Alligator mississippiensis: one gene and its partner. The protein of the gene in region 1 interacts with the protein of each later gene in a biochemical or structural test. Links are inferred from orthologs where the notes say so. Each region holds a gene or a part of one and is shown on either strand. Other genes may lie near its edges.

Region 1 (8,205 bases):
GAACTGGATGCAGTACTCCAACTGCAGCCTGACCAGTGCCGCATAGAGGGGGAGGATCACCTCCTTGGACCTGCTTGAGATGCATCTGTGGATGCATGAGAAGGTGTGGTTGGCCTTCCTGACTGCGTCCCCACACTGTCGGCCAGTGTTCATTTTGGCATCAATAATGATTCCAAGATCCTTTTCTACCTCTGCACTGACAAGAAGGGAGTTCCCCAGCCTGTAGGTATGCTGCTGGTTCTTCCTCCCCAGGTGCAGCACCTTGCACTTGTCAGTGTTGAAACCCATCCTGTTCTCATCCACCCACCCCTGTAACCTTTCTAGGTCCAATTGCAGCCTATTCCTCCTTTCTAGCGTGCTCACATCCCCCCACATCTTGGTGTCATCAGCAAATTTGAACAGGGTGCTTTTTACCCCCTCGTCCAAGTAACTGATGAAGATGTTGAACAGTACGGGTCCGAAGACCGAGCACTGGGGGACCCCACTGCCCACATCCCTCCAGGTTGAAATGACCCGTCCACCACCACTCTCTGGGTGCAGCCCTCCAGCCAGTAAGCGACCCATTTGACTGTGTAGGTGTCGACGCCAGAGTCCCCTAGTTTTTTTTAAATGAGGGTGGGGTGAGAGACAGTGTCGAAGGCCTTCCTGAAGTCCAGAAAGACTATGTCAACTGCTACCCCTGCGTCTACAGATTTTGTGACCTGGTCATAGAAGGCCACCAGCCTGGTTTGACAGGACCTGCCTCTAATCAACCCGTGTTGGTTGTCCCTAAGCATAACCTCCCCTGCTGGCCCCTCGTGGACATGTGCCAGGATAATTGTCTCAAAAAGCTTACCCAGGATCGAGGTAAGACTAACTGGCCTATAGTTTCCTGGGTCCTCCTTCCTCCCTTTTTTGAAAATGGGAACCACACTGGCCCTTTTCCAGTCCTCTGGCACCACACCAGAGCACCACGAGTGCTCGTAAAGCTGTGCCAGAGATCCCGCAATGACCTCTGCTAATTCCCTCAGCACTCTGGGGTGGAGGTTGTCAGGACCTGCTGATTTAAATACGTCTAGTCCCTCCAGAAGTTCCCTGTCTAGATCCTCACTGACCCTAGGCCTGGGTGCACCTCCCCCGGGGCCTCAGGGGGTCCCGGTCAATGGGCTGATCTGGTCCCTGCTCAGGAAAATGGAGGCAAAGAAATCGTTAAATAGGTTAGCCTTGTCGTCTGGTGCAACAACCAGATTTCCTAGCGTGTCTTGCAGAGGCCAACTCTCTCTGAATCAGCACCAAATCTTCCAAAGCCGATTCGATTCAAGACAGTGATCTGAATCTCCAAATCAAATCACTGTCCTCTGAATCAGCACTGAATACTTCTCTATTTGCACAGGCTTAATGTCAATGTTTCTTTAGTATTTCTGAAATAGGTCTGAGGCCTAATAAGGAATTTGAAGGAGATATTAGCAGTCATATGGATTACCTGAAGAATGTAGTTCCATGTATAAGTGTAAAAGAAAGCACCTATGCATTTTTGGTGGTTTGGAAGTCTTATGCAAACAATTAATAAGAAAAAACTGGACAACAGATAGCAGTAAAAAAAATATGAACCAATCTGAAGGTTTATGCAAACCACTGGAATTTGATTAAGGGAAATTGTGCAGGAGCCAATGAAAGTATTTGAAGAATTGACGATATGATTATAGCAACAGGAAATAATTTTAGTAGTTGTATTTTGACTTACTGGAGAGGAGATGCTGGTGTTTAGGAGGTTCAGGTTGATAAGGTTACAGTACATGAGACAGAAGACAAGAACCTGAATAAAAACATTTGTCTGTCTTAACAAAAACAGGCAAGAGCTATGCAAGTAGCAGCAAATTTGGTTACAGTCTGAATGTGTGGGGCAAAGGAAGGTGACAAGTGTGACAGGGGGCAATCTCCCAGGCTCAACATGCAGGCTCCTCTGTAGCCTGCACCAGCCCACTAAGTGCCCTCCGATGGTGCTCCGCCACACAAGAAATATAGTTTGTTTGGTTTTTTTAAATGAACAGCAACAAATGATGGAGGTAACAGAGAGGATATAGGAGGAAAAATGAGATTTTTTTATTGTAAAGTCAGAATCAGTGTCTTCTGGTATGGGGGAGGGGAGAATGGGAGGTGGACACAGGTCACAGGTATGGAAAGGACAATTTTTTTCTAATGCAACTATTGGTCCATCAGCAGGATATATTCAGCAAATTTTAAAAAACACACTTCAATGGAACAACAGAAATTTTCTGTGTAAAGAAAAACCAACACCAGTCTGATAGAAACAGAGGAGTTATTAGGTGATGACGTACAACATCTGCAAGAATTAAACGGTCCTTAAAGGGACAGTAAAGTAAGGAAAATACATAAACTGAATATGTAACTTGCAGGATCTGTTTGAATAAGCACAAATATTCTAATCCGGATAAAGTTTCTGAATGTTAAAAAGATCCAAGTACGGGAGGTGTGTTGTAACAGTATCTTACAACTACAATAGATAAACACACACACACACACACACACACACACACACACACACTATCAGGTCAATTAGATGCATTACACTAATTGTAATAGTCGTCAGCTATGCTGTTTATACAAAAGGTCAAAGGAAAACAGTCAGCCAACTGCATTAACATTTATGTGTTCACTTTTGCTAACAGGGTACAAGCTGAGGGGAAATGTACTCCCCACTTCTTAAAGTAAATCAGTTTATTTTTAAACAGGAAAGGAATAAAATGCCTTTGTTAAAAGTTTACTACTTTATTCCTGTTGGCAGTTGTGGTTACAGTCAAGGTTTGAATTACATTCTGACTCTTGGCGGGGAGGGGGGGGAGAGTCTGTAGCAGGAGCAACCAGAAGGACCCGCGGCCACCCGAGGCAAGCCAAGGGGGCTCTCGTCTCTTATGGGGGAGCTCAGCCCACCCAAGCTCCCCCAGAATTCAAGCCCTAGTTACAGTCCAAAAGGTTCTACTGCTACAAACAGTCACTGCAGCTTTAAAACTACCTATCTATAGCACAACATTTTTTAGGCTTCTGATGCATTATATAAATAAATGGTCCACCCTCCCTATTTTTCCTTCCTCTCCTCTCTATTTTGATAATTTGTTCATACCTAATTTCATAACTATTTGAACATGGCTTTTTCATACCCAGGAGAGAAAGTCCATTTATACCACTCAACAGCACTTCTGTCAACCAAATAATGTTGTTGTCCCCGCTTGTTCATTTGATGAGATGGTATGCGCCAGTCTAGACCAGATGAAGACACACTCTGAAAGTAAAAATTTAACATCCTCACAGGACTTCATTTAATATTTCAAAGCAACTCCACAAAGGTTATAATAAGCTTCCACAAGTCATAAAATGAAATGGAACATTTCAGTAATTTCATAAAGAAGTGTAAGTGAAAATCAGGCACTAACCTGCAGGGAAAAGGGGCCTAAACTAATATAGAAAAATTTCTTGAAATGGAAAGTTCAGAAGTATGGGGAACTCCCTCATCCCTTCAGTCTGTTATACTAGTTCAGGTATGAATATCCCAAAATAAACATAATTTTGGTAGAAACCTATGGATGCAGATAGTAGTAACAATGAACGTTTCCAAATGAAACACACTTAAAAATGCTTTAAAAAGGAAACATTTCAGCCAGTGGACACAGGTACATCCCTGTGTCACTAAACATTTCAATGTTGCAGCTTCCTCTACTGCCAGCCAGGCAGCATTAGGGCAGGCTGCAAGGAACAAATGTTCTGCTCTCAGCTCCCTGCTCCCCTTCACTTCACAGGGACAGCAGGAAGTAGGGGGAGAGGGGGGGCAAGAGTAGAGTGGAGAGACAAGCAGGGGTTGGAGGGGAATGGAGTGGGGCAGGGGACAAGTAGGTTAGGAATACCAACTTTCCCCCCAATCCCTGCTGTTGGCTCTTAAATCTCCAAATTTCTCTCTACCCTCCCCCAACAAAGGGGAGGGGCAGAAAGGATTGGGAGCAGAGGGTTCGAATGACATTACCCAGAGAGTTGCGTGTATCCAGCTGTCCTTTTGAAACATTTTAAAAGACATCTACAACATTTTAATTGTTACTTGTGTCCATGTCTTATCTGGAGTGCAGAGCAAAGTGCATCAATTCTCATATTATGACCAAGGCTAATGACCAAGAACCTGCAAATAAAATTTGTGCCTTTCTGACATAACAAGAATTCTTGCTTCATATGGAGATGACAAATAAAGACATTTCTGAGAGGTGTTAACTGCAATTGGTGCTGCTGTACTTTATATTCCTTGGCATTATCTAGGTCTAATCATGCTGGAAATTCTTCAGTCTCCCCACAATGCTCTGTACCAGAAGCCTGATACTAAGATGGGAAGTCCATGACATTCAGAAACTGTTCCCATTACTCCAGAGCTGAACTTCCACCTCACAAATCAGGCTCAGGATCTGCTTCTTTGACCCAAGGACCATCTTTCATGAGAGGTATATACAATGTCAGCACAAGGCTCTGGCTTCTGGAGGCTATCAGACTAAAGGAGATCAGGGAGGGCACAGACTAAGGTCTGATGGATGGAAAGGACAGGGCTGTGCTTACTGGTACTGTGACTCCTTGCTTTACCTTCACACCACGAGAACAGAGGGTGCTTTCTTTCATGAGGGGTAATGTAACTAAGAAGTGAAACTTGGAGAGGCTGGGAAACTTGTTTCCTCAAAAAATATCCTCTTACTATATAGATACTACATGGTGGGAGGCTTCTCCCTTATGCAAGGTCTAGACAGAAGCCGGCCCAGGACAATGAAAAGCAGGGTGTGGCAGCAGCAGAGCTCAGTGCACATGCACCTGGGGGCTGAGAACAGAACTTGCAGTGGTGAAAGGGGGGGGTATGACTGCACCACCACACACCCCATATCCAGTCAGGCATCCAGGTAATGCCATACCTAAAGGAACAGGGTCAGAAAGGCGCAGTAAAAGTTGAGGCCTGGAATTGCAAAGTGTTTTGGCCCTGGATTGAAGTATAGACCCTTACCCACAGAAAGCCAGCTGAAGAACTTGAACTTGTAAAAGAGATCCCTTATGTGCCAGAGCCAAGTGTGGATACATACAGTAGTAGAATACAGAGTTGAAGATCTTTGCCTCTTTTATACCCTAGAAACATGACATCTAGTGAAAATTGGTATTCCATCTACCAGAGCATGAGAGTTAGAACATTAAGGGAAGATGGTATCAAAAAGACAGCCGAAATCATGGTTCTCATTTCCCTCCACGCCACACCTACCCCCACGCCCTCACTGAAGCCAATGACAGTTTCACCTTAACACAGGGTGGACAATTATTTCGGCTCAACAAGTTTTGGCAAGCTGTCAGGGACCACATGGGTAGCCCGGTCTCTTGACAGATGCCCTGACACCTGGTCACCACACTGGGACCATAAGTCCTGCCCCATGACTCCTGACCTTTGCCACCAGAAGTCCCTCCCCTTGCATCCCCCGCCCTGCTACGCCTCCCACCAAATGCTCCTTTTAAGAGGGAATCATAGAACCAGAAAAAAAAAAAACCAAATCATACACTAGAAGTAAAACATCTATTATATTTTAATTTTACTACAAAAAATATTTGTCACAACTTGTAATTAGATACTGCATATAGAAGGAATAGCATAATAACAACTCAAAATAAAAGTGTCACTCTGCTGGTTGGGCAGAGCCCTTCTGCCCAAGAGGGTTCGAGCAAGGTCCAATAGGTTATGTTGTGAGGGTTGTACATGTGGGTGCCTTGCTCTCACCCTTGTTGGAAGAAGGGCTGGGCAGGGTGCAATTCATGGGGAGGCGGGGACAGACCATGGAGTGGATGAAAGTACATGGTAGGCTGGATACAGCCCACAGGCTGTATTTTCCCCGCCCCTGCCTTAACATACCATCACCATATGATTTGTAAAATGAAATATATAAATTCAAGCACCTAGACAGGTAAAGAATTTGAGATTAAAAAAAAGTTTGTTTTGTTTTTCTAAAATGAATTCCGAGTGGAGGGTAGACGTGATTAAATGGGTATGGTGAAGAGCATATAAAACAGAGGATATTTGGCTATTTAAATAAAATACAGGGCTGCCAGGGAATGAGAATCCTCACCAATCTAGTGAATACTTAGGTAAGTAAGGATAAATCTTTTACTTCTAAAGAATGTTTTTACAAAACACATTGCAACAATACAAGACTAGGTTAGAATAGGGAAGGAAAAAAAAGGTAAATCTTAATTCAATTACTTTGCACAATGAAGGTTAATCACAGCATAAAATGTTGCATTCATGTTAAAATAGTGTTGCAAACCAGTTACTTTAAGTGACAAGCTGTGACCTATCATTTAGCCTTTAAAATAACTTAAGTGGCTTGAATGACGAGAATGTCCTAACTAGCAACATTGCTCCAGTCATATTAGAGTATTACAGCAAGTATATTCTGGCAATCACTCTCACTTGTTCACTTACTTGCCACACCTTTGATGGGAGAATAAATATAATAAACAAACAGACAAAAATAATTGCAGTTCTTACAATCGATCTGTATAAGGTAACTTCTTATTTTCTCACAGAATGTCTAACAAGGTGATAACATTCATGCTCAAGGTCAGCCAAGTCCTGTTTTGGTATAGTCTCTATGTCTGGTGACTGGCTCCCTGCTGAGCTCACCTCCCTGGCTAATTCTTTCTTTAATTTCTCTCAGAGTGTACCTTCCGTTGCCAGTGTTTCTGTGATCCCCGTGTCCCTTGAAGAGTCTCACCGCTTTTCTGATTCAGGTAAGTATCTCCCCAGTGCATGGGCTGCCTCTTGTCCCGACACAGCTATAGAACTCCTGCACCTCCGCACAGGCTGTTTCAACCTTCCAGGTGGAATTCGCATTCCTCACCCCCTTCCAGGGGGTGTTTGTTGGGGAAGTGCCCTTTTCAAGGTGTTCCCTTACTTGCTTCAGGTCTCTAGTTTATAATTCTTTGCAGGTGTTCAAATCTCCCTCCTCCAGAGGTCACCTGATGACATCATCACCTCCGGTTCTCAGTAAGTTTAACTCTTCCCCTCCTAGTAACAGGGTCAATAGACTCCCTGTTACATTAAGCACAAAGTATTCCCTTTTCTCCCTAAATTCAAACCCAGGATTGTATTACACATGATTAAGTAAAATCAAATTGCACCAAAAAGAGGGAGCAGAAACAAAAATAAGGGGAGTGCTGATAAAGCATTTGTCGATTTACAAGTATGTGCTTATGGGTTTATCTCCCCTGTTGATTTTTATATACTGTAGGCAAATGGTAATCTTATAGGACACACCCCTAATTATGAAATATATCCAACTTTCATATTTGCATTATTGAGTTGTGGCAGGTGGACTTGATTTAAAATGGAACAATCTTTCAGTTACTGGTGCCATATATAGGTATCTTTATTAAATAATACCTTTCCTTGTACATTTGTATGTTTTGTAAGCTGTAGGCATAAGTGCCAGAACAGGACTGATTGTTTGTCCTTTTTCAATTGAAATAGAGATCTGAAGATTGAGGCACCTCAAGAAAAAGACATCAAACTGGAACAGTACATTTCTATTCACAACTGAAATGCCAATCGTATAGATGTGAGGGGAAAAAATGTAAAATAAGTTATCATCTCATTCTCCAATATATACTATAGAATCAAATATTGGAAATGTAATGTGCAAGGTACAGTCAGGGGTATCATAGTGTGTGGTGAGTAGAGTGTGGGGTGGGTAGGGGCAACACAGAATAAGAGCTATTGCTGCAGTCAAGCAGGATCACCAACCCAAAAAAATGTTTTTTACTGACTTTCTGCAAACTGCCATTCAGGGCCTGGCAGAAAGGTCACACTTAAATTATGTAAACCATCAGCAGGGGTGTAGTTAATTTGCGGTTCTGCAGAAACTGTGAGAACTGGCACCTACAAATTGCCAGGAAATATCACATTGGCCACAATTTCCCACAAAATCAACCTAAAAAACCAAGCAAACAGTGTATTATTTATATAATACACTGTTTTAGAATGTCCCAATGCTTACCATAATACAAAGACAGTGCGACAATCACTGCAGCCACAGATCACGTGACAGTGCTAGTGAGAGACTAAATGAAGGTGCCAGTCAGTGAAGTGAAAATGTTTCCATTAAGGTTAGTATTAATTAGTATTTCTAAATTTTTCATATTGTATAT
Region 2 (7,992 bases), on another chromosome or scaffold:
TGAAGCAGTACAATGGTGTCCCCTTGGATGGTGAGTGTGCCTGGCTCTTTCCAGGGGACACTTGATTCAGTAGGGGAAGGATTTTAGTTGCCAGTGCCACTGGCAGAAATTTGTATTCCGTTTTCCCCTCTCCCAGGGCGCCCCATGAACATCCAACTGGTCACATCACAGATAGACACACAGAGGAGACCAATACAAAGGTGAGATGTTTTGTCTCATGGGGCCTGGGTGACTCGTTCTCTTCATGTGGGCAGTGAATTTGTGTAGCCTGCTTCTGTAGGAAGATGGCTTTGGGCTTCAGGTCTGTCCTTGCAGCACTTTCCTGGTGGTTGGGTTTCCTTGTGGTGGGACTGTGCCATGACTAACAAAACTGCTTTCTCTGCTTCACAGTGTAAACAGAGGTGGCATGACCAGAACCCGTGGGTCAGGATTTGGTGGTGGAGGCAGTAACAGGCGAGGTAGCCGTGGTGGGAACAGAGGGAGAGGCAGAGGAACAGGAAGAAGTTCAAAGCAGCAACTCTCTGCAGAAGAATTAGATGCACAGTTGGATGCTTACAATGCCAGGGTAAGTACAGGTTCCCTGGGTGGAGTTTGTATGTGTACATCAGTCCTCAACAGTCTACAGCTGTTTGCCAGAATGATGGGCCAAATGTGTCTCCTCGAGACTGGTCAGTACCTGGTTCCTGAATTGTCTTATTCAGAAGTAAGAAGTGGCCCTCGGGGACCAGCTTTTCAACAGGCAGAGGCCTGTTTGGGCCAGACTCTCCTGTCAGTGCTGCACATTACTGTCTGTGAAGATCTGGGTCCACTCTTTGTGGGTGAGGGGAAGAGCTGGGGCAAAGAGCTTGACCTAGTGTGACCTGATGCTGAAGGCTAGCAGAGAAGGGCTGCATCATTGGAGGCACATCTGGTGTTGTCCCCCTGCCCCTTCAAATAAAGGGGCCAGCAACCGCACTCAGCAGGGCAGCCTCCACTGACTGAATGAATGCATGCAGTGGAGCTGTCCTAAAGGAGAAAGCAGGCCTATGATTAGACTGGGAAATGTAGGTAATGGATCTAAAGAATTGGGTGCCTGCAGCTAGTCTGTTAACAACAGCTTAGATCAGGGGTGGGCAAAATGCAGCCCGTGGACTGAATCTGGCCTGCCAAGGGATTTTATTCAGTCTGCAGGGGGTCCCTCGGCCCCACCTAGCCCAGATGTGGTGGGCAGCCTGGACTGCAGTGCATGTGGTCAGTCCTGCCACCCCCGGGCATGCAGCAGGGCTGGGGCAGTACAGTGGCTGGACTCTGCTTGCCAGCCAGAGGAGCTGCTGCTGCCACTAAATCTAGGTACCATGATCTGTGCTGCGCCCCCCCGCCCCCCGAGGAGCAAGACGGAGCAGGTGGGAAGGGTCTCCAGGGAGACAGACCCAGGACCCTGTAGGCAGGGTGCACTCTGCTGGACAATGGGATGGGGGTGCAGGGGGCAGTGTCTGGAAGCAGGATGGGTGAGGTCAGGCCCAGGATCATGGGGCCTTACTGGGGGCGGATCGCGGCTTTACCCCCGGCCTCCTGCTCTCTTCCTGCCCACAGCCCCATCCTATTCACTCAGCTGACTGTGGGGGAGACCCTGCCCACTCTGTCTGGTGCCCCCCCAGACCAGTTTAGTAATCTATCACTTGAGGACTCTTGGTGAGCTGTTGTGGGCTAGGGGGTGCTGACCTAGCTTGCAAGAGCTCGCCAAAACTTCCTAGCCCAATTATTTGCCCACCCCTGGCTTAGACTGTGAGGCTTTCAGGCTCCTGTTAACGAGCATGTGGGCATGTGCTATGTGAAAGTCTCCTAGATAAGGGGAAGTGATCGGCAAACTGACTGCCATTTCAGACTCTAGTCCTTGCTAAGAGACACATTGGGAGGTATGTGAAGAACGAAGCAGAGCAAATGTGCCCATTTATCAGAATAAGAGTGACCTGGGCAGGTTTTGTCTAGTACATGCTGGAAAAACTTTTATTAAACCACTTCTAGGCATTTAACAGATAACGAAGACATGAGCAGCAAGTAGCATGATGGGTTTGTACAGGACATCTTGATGGGCAGCTCGATGGCTCTCTTGCAGAACTACAGTGATAGCGGGGGGAAATGGAGTTGGCCAGACCTCATGCGACTTAATTCACAAGCTGGAAGCTTAGCATGGAACAGGCTTAAACTATATTGTAGCAGAGCTAGCTGCTGTGAAAACACTTCCAGTGAGGACCCCTAGGCTTGATCTATGTTGGGACCAGTGTTCGAGAGGAGTGAACAGAGCACTTGAGTTGTTCCTAGGGATGTTTTAAAAGGGCTGGCGGGGTGAGTGACACGGGGCCCTAGGCCTGAGGAGACCAGCTGCCAGAAATGCAGGAGTCAGCACACAGGACTGTCACTGTATGGTCAGTGTGACGTTGGTTTGCATCTGCAAAGCAAGGAGGAAGTAGCAAGGGCCTGGTGTTATTGCAGGTCACGTGCTGAATCTACACCAGCAGCGTGACTGGCTGACAAAGGCTTATTTTACCAGTGCTTCACTAGCAAAGAAAACTACTAAATCGTGCGTGCGCTGAATGCTTGTGGCTGCCGCCAGGCTTGAGCAGCAGTGCTGCGGAGTGCTCTCTCCCAGGCGGTGTTATGAATGTCTGAAACCTAACTGGTTTAATGTCAGTATGTTGCTACTGTCCGTGGTGGTAGAAGTGCCCCCCCACCTGTAACACCTCATCCTTAACGCCTCCTTCTGCATCCTTGGCAGCCAAGAATCCCACCTGCACTACCCAGCTCAACTGCCTCTTGCGCCAGCAGGTGCATGTGGCACAGGCCTGTTTCTTTGACCCCTGTCCTGAGCCGTTTCCTCTACATTGCTCAGGCTGTTCACCCCTTGCTACTGCTTGCTGAGACCTGTTCTCCCATTGCCATGGCAACCTTGCCCTGAAAAACTGCTTACCAGCCTTATGACAGCCCCAACCTGGAGTGCTGGAGCCTGGCTTCTGTCTGCTGCCCCCCCCATGTGCTCTGGGGGGCCATGCCACGAGTAGAGCTGCAGGTACCGGTCGTGGTAGGGGCTGAACTGCGCAACACGGCAGCCAGATTCTCCAGGGCAGTTTCTGCAGTTGTTTGTACTGTGGACACACACCTGCAGGACACAGAAAACTAAGATGGGCACCTGTTAACGTGAAGCTAATACTAAAAACAAGTAATGCAGCATGCCCCGGACTGCCTGCGTGCTTCATAATTCAGGAGGGCTGCTCTCACTACGCACTTCCTGTATCTGAGAAGGGTGGGGTGTGCCTTGCCTTTTAAACATTACTGGGAAGAACAGGATGAAAATAAGAGGGTGACGGAGGAGGAGAGCTGGAGCTGGATTTCGGGGGGGAGGGGGAATAGTACAACCTCTGAGATGTGCTGGGCTTCCCTCTCAGGTGGTGGAAATGAAATGGGGTCTCTTAAAACTAGACAGGGGTGCTGGGAAAGAGGGGAAGGGAGAGCAGGGTCTTGCCCACCTTGGAGAAGTGCACCAGTCAGTTCATTTTTAAAGTGTGCCCAGTTAGGCGGGTTCACACCTAATGCATTTCAGCCAGTTTGACCCTTTCTTCCCATATTGGTATGTTCCAGTGGAAGCAGCTGGCTCTAAACTGATCATGAACGGGACTGAGGCTCTGGCTAAGCTCGGGTTGAACCGGAAAGCTTTGTGCGAGCACGCTCCATAGGTCCTCTTTGCCTTGCCCATGGCACAGCCGAGTAACTGCACTTCACTCTTGTTCTAGATGGACACCAGCTAAAGCAGCGAGCACGTCCCCTGCATGGAAAGGACTCCAGACATCTCATTCCATGCTCTCCGGAGGGAGGGGTGTACGACTGTGGCTACTACTATCAAGGACGGAATTTGTTTTACTTTTATGTTTTGGAATAGGTTTTAAACTCATGTAAAGGTTTTTTTTAATTCTGAAACAGACCTGTTTTGTACCGAGTTATTTTTGGGAAAAATTTTACTGGTTGCCTGTTGGGCGGAGGTGGCTTTTTCACCTTTGCCGTAATAAAATAGAAATGTGTCTAGATCTGTAAATGTTTGCTTCCTGTTGCAGCTGGAGCCGAGGAGCGGAGTCAGCGGGCGGCAGGAGCGTGAGCGGGTGGGAGGTGGTGGGCAGGCCTCTGTCGCATCCCGTGCTGAGGGCCGAGTCCCTTGCCCTCCGGAGGAGGCTACTGTTCTGCCTTGGCTCTTTTCCCCTCCCCAGCGTCAGTGCGAGCTGTGTGCGTGCAGCTGCGGGGGGAGCCGCCCTGCCCTAGCTGCAGGGACACGAGAGTGCAGCGTGTGGCGGGAGGGCCCGGACCCCGCTGCTGCACCAAGCCTGGCTGCGAGGGGCCCAGGAAAGACTTGGTCTTTCAGTGACCCCCCGCCCCCTGCTCGTTTCTCGGGGGGGCCTCGTGTGCCCCTTTCCGCCCCCCGGAGCCCTGCCGGGTGGGGCTGCTCCACGTGCTGCCGCGATCCGTCCCCCCCCCCCCCCGCCTATTTCCCGCCCGGTGACGTCACGGCAGGGGCGGGGCTCGGGCTGCCGCCTCCACTTTATTGCCACAGGCGCTTCCGGTTGCGGACAGCCCGCCATGCTTCTCGCAGGGGCGCTCCCTCCGGCGCCCGAACTCTATGGTCCCTCCCCCAGCGGTCGCATGCCCAGTCCCGTCTGGCCAATCAGCGTCGCGAGCCGGGCCGGAAGTGAGGCACTTGGGGTCGGCCTCATATAACAGGAAGTGACGGGCGTGTCCCGGAAGTGCGAGGGCACGCAGCGGCGGTGGGGCGGATCCGGGCGGCGGTGTCAGTGCAGCTCGGAGCAGCGAACGGGCCGGGTAGGGCGGGGCGGGGCGGGGCTGCGACCTCTCGTGCCCAGGCCCAGGCCCAGGCCCGGGGCCACGGGCGGGGCGGGGCGCCCGGGTCCTGCTCCCGCCAGTGCTGCGGCCTCCGCGCGCGGGGCCTGGGGGCGTCTCCGGGGTCACGGCGGCTCCCGGTCCCGCTCCGCCGCGGGGGCGCGTCTGTGCCGAGGTCTCGCCGGGCCTGCCCCCGGGCGCGGCCCCCCACAAAAGCCGGGCCCGGCGTCGGCGGGTCCGTGCGCCGCTGTCGGCCCGCGGGTGCCTGGGAGCCCCCGGCCCGGCCGCGCTCGCCCCTCGGGCCCCGCTCGCAGCCGCGTGCTCCCGCTCCCCCTGCCCCCGCGGAGGCAGCGGCGTCCCCGGGCCGGCCTCGCAGCCGCTTGCGCCAGAGCGGAGCCCGAGGAGACGGGATGGGCTCGCAGGCCGTTGTCCTCCCTCCCTCCCTCCCTCGCTGGCTGTCTGGCTGGCTGGCAGACCCGAGCGGGGTCGGGCGGCCCTGGCGGCGGGGCTGCCTCTGCTCGGTGCAAGGAGCCCGGCAGAAAGGCTCTGGAGGCGGCAGGCTCCCTCCGTCACAACCGGGTCACGGACGCACACGATGCAGGCGCCGGCGCCTGCTTGCTGCCCCTCCCCGGTGCCAGGCTCGCGGGCGCCCCGGGGCCGACCAGCAAGACCGCGGGGCCCGGCTGCCTCTGTCGTCCGTCCGTCCGTCCGTGGGCTCCTGGGGGTTGCCCCGGTGCCCCCACCCCCTCGCTGCCCGTGCCGCCGGGCCTAGGACTTGAGCAGAGCCCGGGCGCTGTTTCCAGGGCAGGCGTGGGTTGGGACGCTCGGATACTTCCTTTCGTGCCCGTGGCTGGCCGATGGGCTCGATGTCGGAGCTGGCCTGCAGCCCGCTTGGCTGGTCTGGCTCGTCCCCGCGCCGGGCCCAGGACAGCGTGGCCCTTTAGCAAGGTGTCCTGGGGCTGGCTCGAGTCGTCTGTCCCTGAGCGCTTGGCCGGAGGGGCCTCGGCTTCCCACCTCCCCGCTGAGAGCACGCGTGCGCCGGCTGCAGTCCCCAGGGGCTGTCTGCCAGGAGCCTGGGGATCCCGGCTGCAGGGTGCCCGAGCGTGGGTGGGCACAGAGACCCCAGGGGAGTCCGACGGCACTGCTGCTGCAGTCTCTTCGTGCTCCTGAGAGCCACGGGCGGGAGCGGTTTCGTGCTGGGAGGCTCAGGAGCTGCGTTCTGCCTCGGGCGCAGGGTGAGAGTCCTGTCCTGCCCCCTGCTGAGGCTGCGGGGAAGTGCCGGTGAGTCATTTTTCCCCTCTGCTCGAGGGCTGGCTTCCTTGTTGGTGCTGCGATGGCGAGGGCCGAGGCTTGCTGCGGGGAAAGGCATTGCCCCCTTGCCCTTGGGCTCCCTCGCCAGGCTTGCATTGCAAGGAGGGTGCTGAGCAGCTCCGTGGGTTTGCCTGCGAAAGGCCGCTCTGGGTGCATGTAGGGTTTCCTGGGGGCTTTTCCTTGCAGCACTGCTAGCTGTGGGTTGTCATGGTGACAGGTTAAGGAGGGCGTGTGCAGGCTGGGGGAGGTCTGGAGCGGGGAGAATCCCTGCAGCTGCACGTGGTGCGAGATGCCCCCGAGTCTCTTGTGCTGGCGCCTGCAGCTGTTTGCGTTGGCAGGGCTTCCCTTGCGCTGCTCTGCCTTCCCGGGCTGGGAAGGGAGAACCCAGGGCAGCAGCAGGTGCCTGCGGCCTGTGACCCACTGGTCTGGGGAGATCCTGGAGGAGGGTCTCCTGTGCGGCGGAGGTGGGTGCTGCCTGGTGCTGCAGGAGCGGAGCAGCCTGCGGTCACCCGCGCTGGCAGGCAGTAGCACAACTTGGGGCCGCAAGGCCGTGCGGTGTGGGAGCTATTGATCGGGGTGGGAGCCTGCAAAGCGGTGAGGAGCCCAGGCTCTTTGAGGGGGGCGTCTCCATGCATTGGTGCCCCTTGCCCGCATGGCGGCCATTAGCAGGACCTGTGTGCGGAGGTCAGCAGCTAGGGAGGAGCTGTGGTTGTCTATGCCCAGGTCCTGGTGCGTCAGCTGCTGCAGGCGCCACTTTGCTGGAGGTTGCACCGGTGCCCCGCTGCAGCTGGGACGCCTGAGCATGGGCCTCGGGGCCCCTGGTAGCTGGCGCGGTCAGTCTGGGTGGCCTGGCAGTGTGGTCTGCCCAGCTCTGAGCACCAGGAAGCAGAGGCCAAGAGCATGTTGCCACCAGCCCTCTCTGTCCAACTGACCTGGGCTGTACAGGCGCTTCCCCTCAGCGGCTGGAGGAAGAGCCCCGGCCTCGGGGAGGCTTCGTGACAGTCTCCTTCCTGCCTGGTTTGGCGCCTTCCCTGGGGAAGCTGCCAAGGAGCTGTGACTGGGGCGGGGGGGGGCGGCGCGCTGGGACGAGCTGCTGGGCGTGGGCAGGGCAGGGCAGGAGGTGGCAGCGGGAGCCTCTGGGGTGGGTGGGTGGGTGGGCGGGCTGTGCCGAGCCTTGGGCCCCTCTATCCGGCTGGGCACACGTGGCCCCTCCCGGCACCGCCAGCCCAGGCCCGAGTGAGTTCCTTGCCCTCCGCCTGCGTGGTAGCACTCTGCTTCCAGTGCCTCGCCGGGGGGTGGGCAGCCCCCAGGACCCGGCACTGAGGTGTCCTTCCCTGAGCTACAACTTGCTGGGCCTGGAGTTGTCCTCACTGTCAGTGCTGGCAGGGGGCTGCTGGGGCCCGTGGTACCCACAGGAGTCCCAGCCATGTGGAGCGTGGTGCTGGGGGCCACCAGGCTTGCTTTGGAGGGGGCAGTGCTGGGCTGGTGGTTACCTGATGCTGGACGTAAGGGCTTGGCCCTTCATAGGAAGCTGCTCCCCAGTAACGTCCGAAACGTGGCCACACCCAGGCTGTGTCCCGCCAGCTCCCTGCGCCCAGTGCTGCAGCCTGCGCTGGCTTGGCCCACGGGGCTGATGGCTTGCCAGGCGCTCTGCACTGGCTGGAGCCCGGGGCTGCTGGGAGCCATACATCCCTTTCTGCCCTGGTTAAGGCTCCTCCTGCCCCTTGGAGCTCATCTCTGGTGTGGAGAGTGCTTCGCCTGGAGGCGAGTGGCAGCCGTGTCTGTGCAGGGGCAGCAGGGCGGCAGCTGGGAGGGGTCCTT

The links.
Region 2: the proteins of RDX (region 1) and ARHGDIA form a complex in vitro, tested with the Homo sapiens proteins (2 studies listed by BioGRID and IntAct). The link is inferred for Alligator mississippiensis from reciprocal best matches to the Homo sapiens genes RDX and ARHGDIA.

The regions. Positions count from the first base shown.
Region 1 is NC_081824.1:435,471,009-435,479,213, reverse strand, and holds the start of RDX (radixin), read right to left. Parts: upstream 3,252-8,205; 5' UTR 3,177-3,251; coding exon 3,159-3,176; intron 1-3,158. UniProt on the Homo sapiens protein: Probably plays a crucial role in the binding of the barbed end of actin filaments to the plasma membrane.
Region 2 is NC_081831.1:492,306-500,297, forward strand, and holds the start of ARHGDIA (rho GDP-dissociation inhibitor 1), read left to right. Parts: upstream 1-4,734; 5' UTR 4,735-4,842; intron 4,843-7,992. Other genes in the region: ALYREF (THO complex subunit 4), read left to right, coding at 1-30, 137-200, 391-565, 3,768-3,782. UniProt on the Homo sapiens protein: Controls Rho proteins homeostasis. Regulates the GDP/GTP exchange reaction of the Rho proteins by inhibiting the dissociation of GDP from them, and the subsequent binding of GTP to them.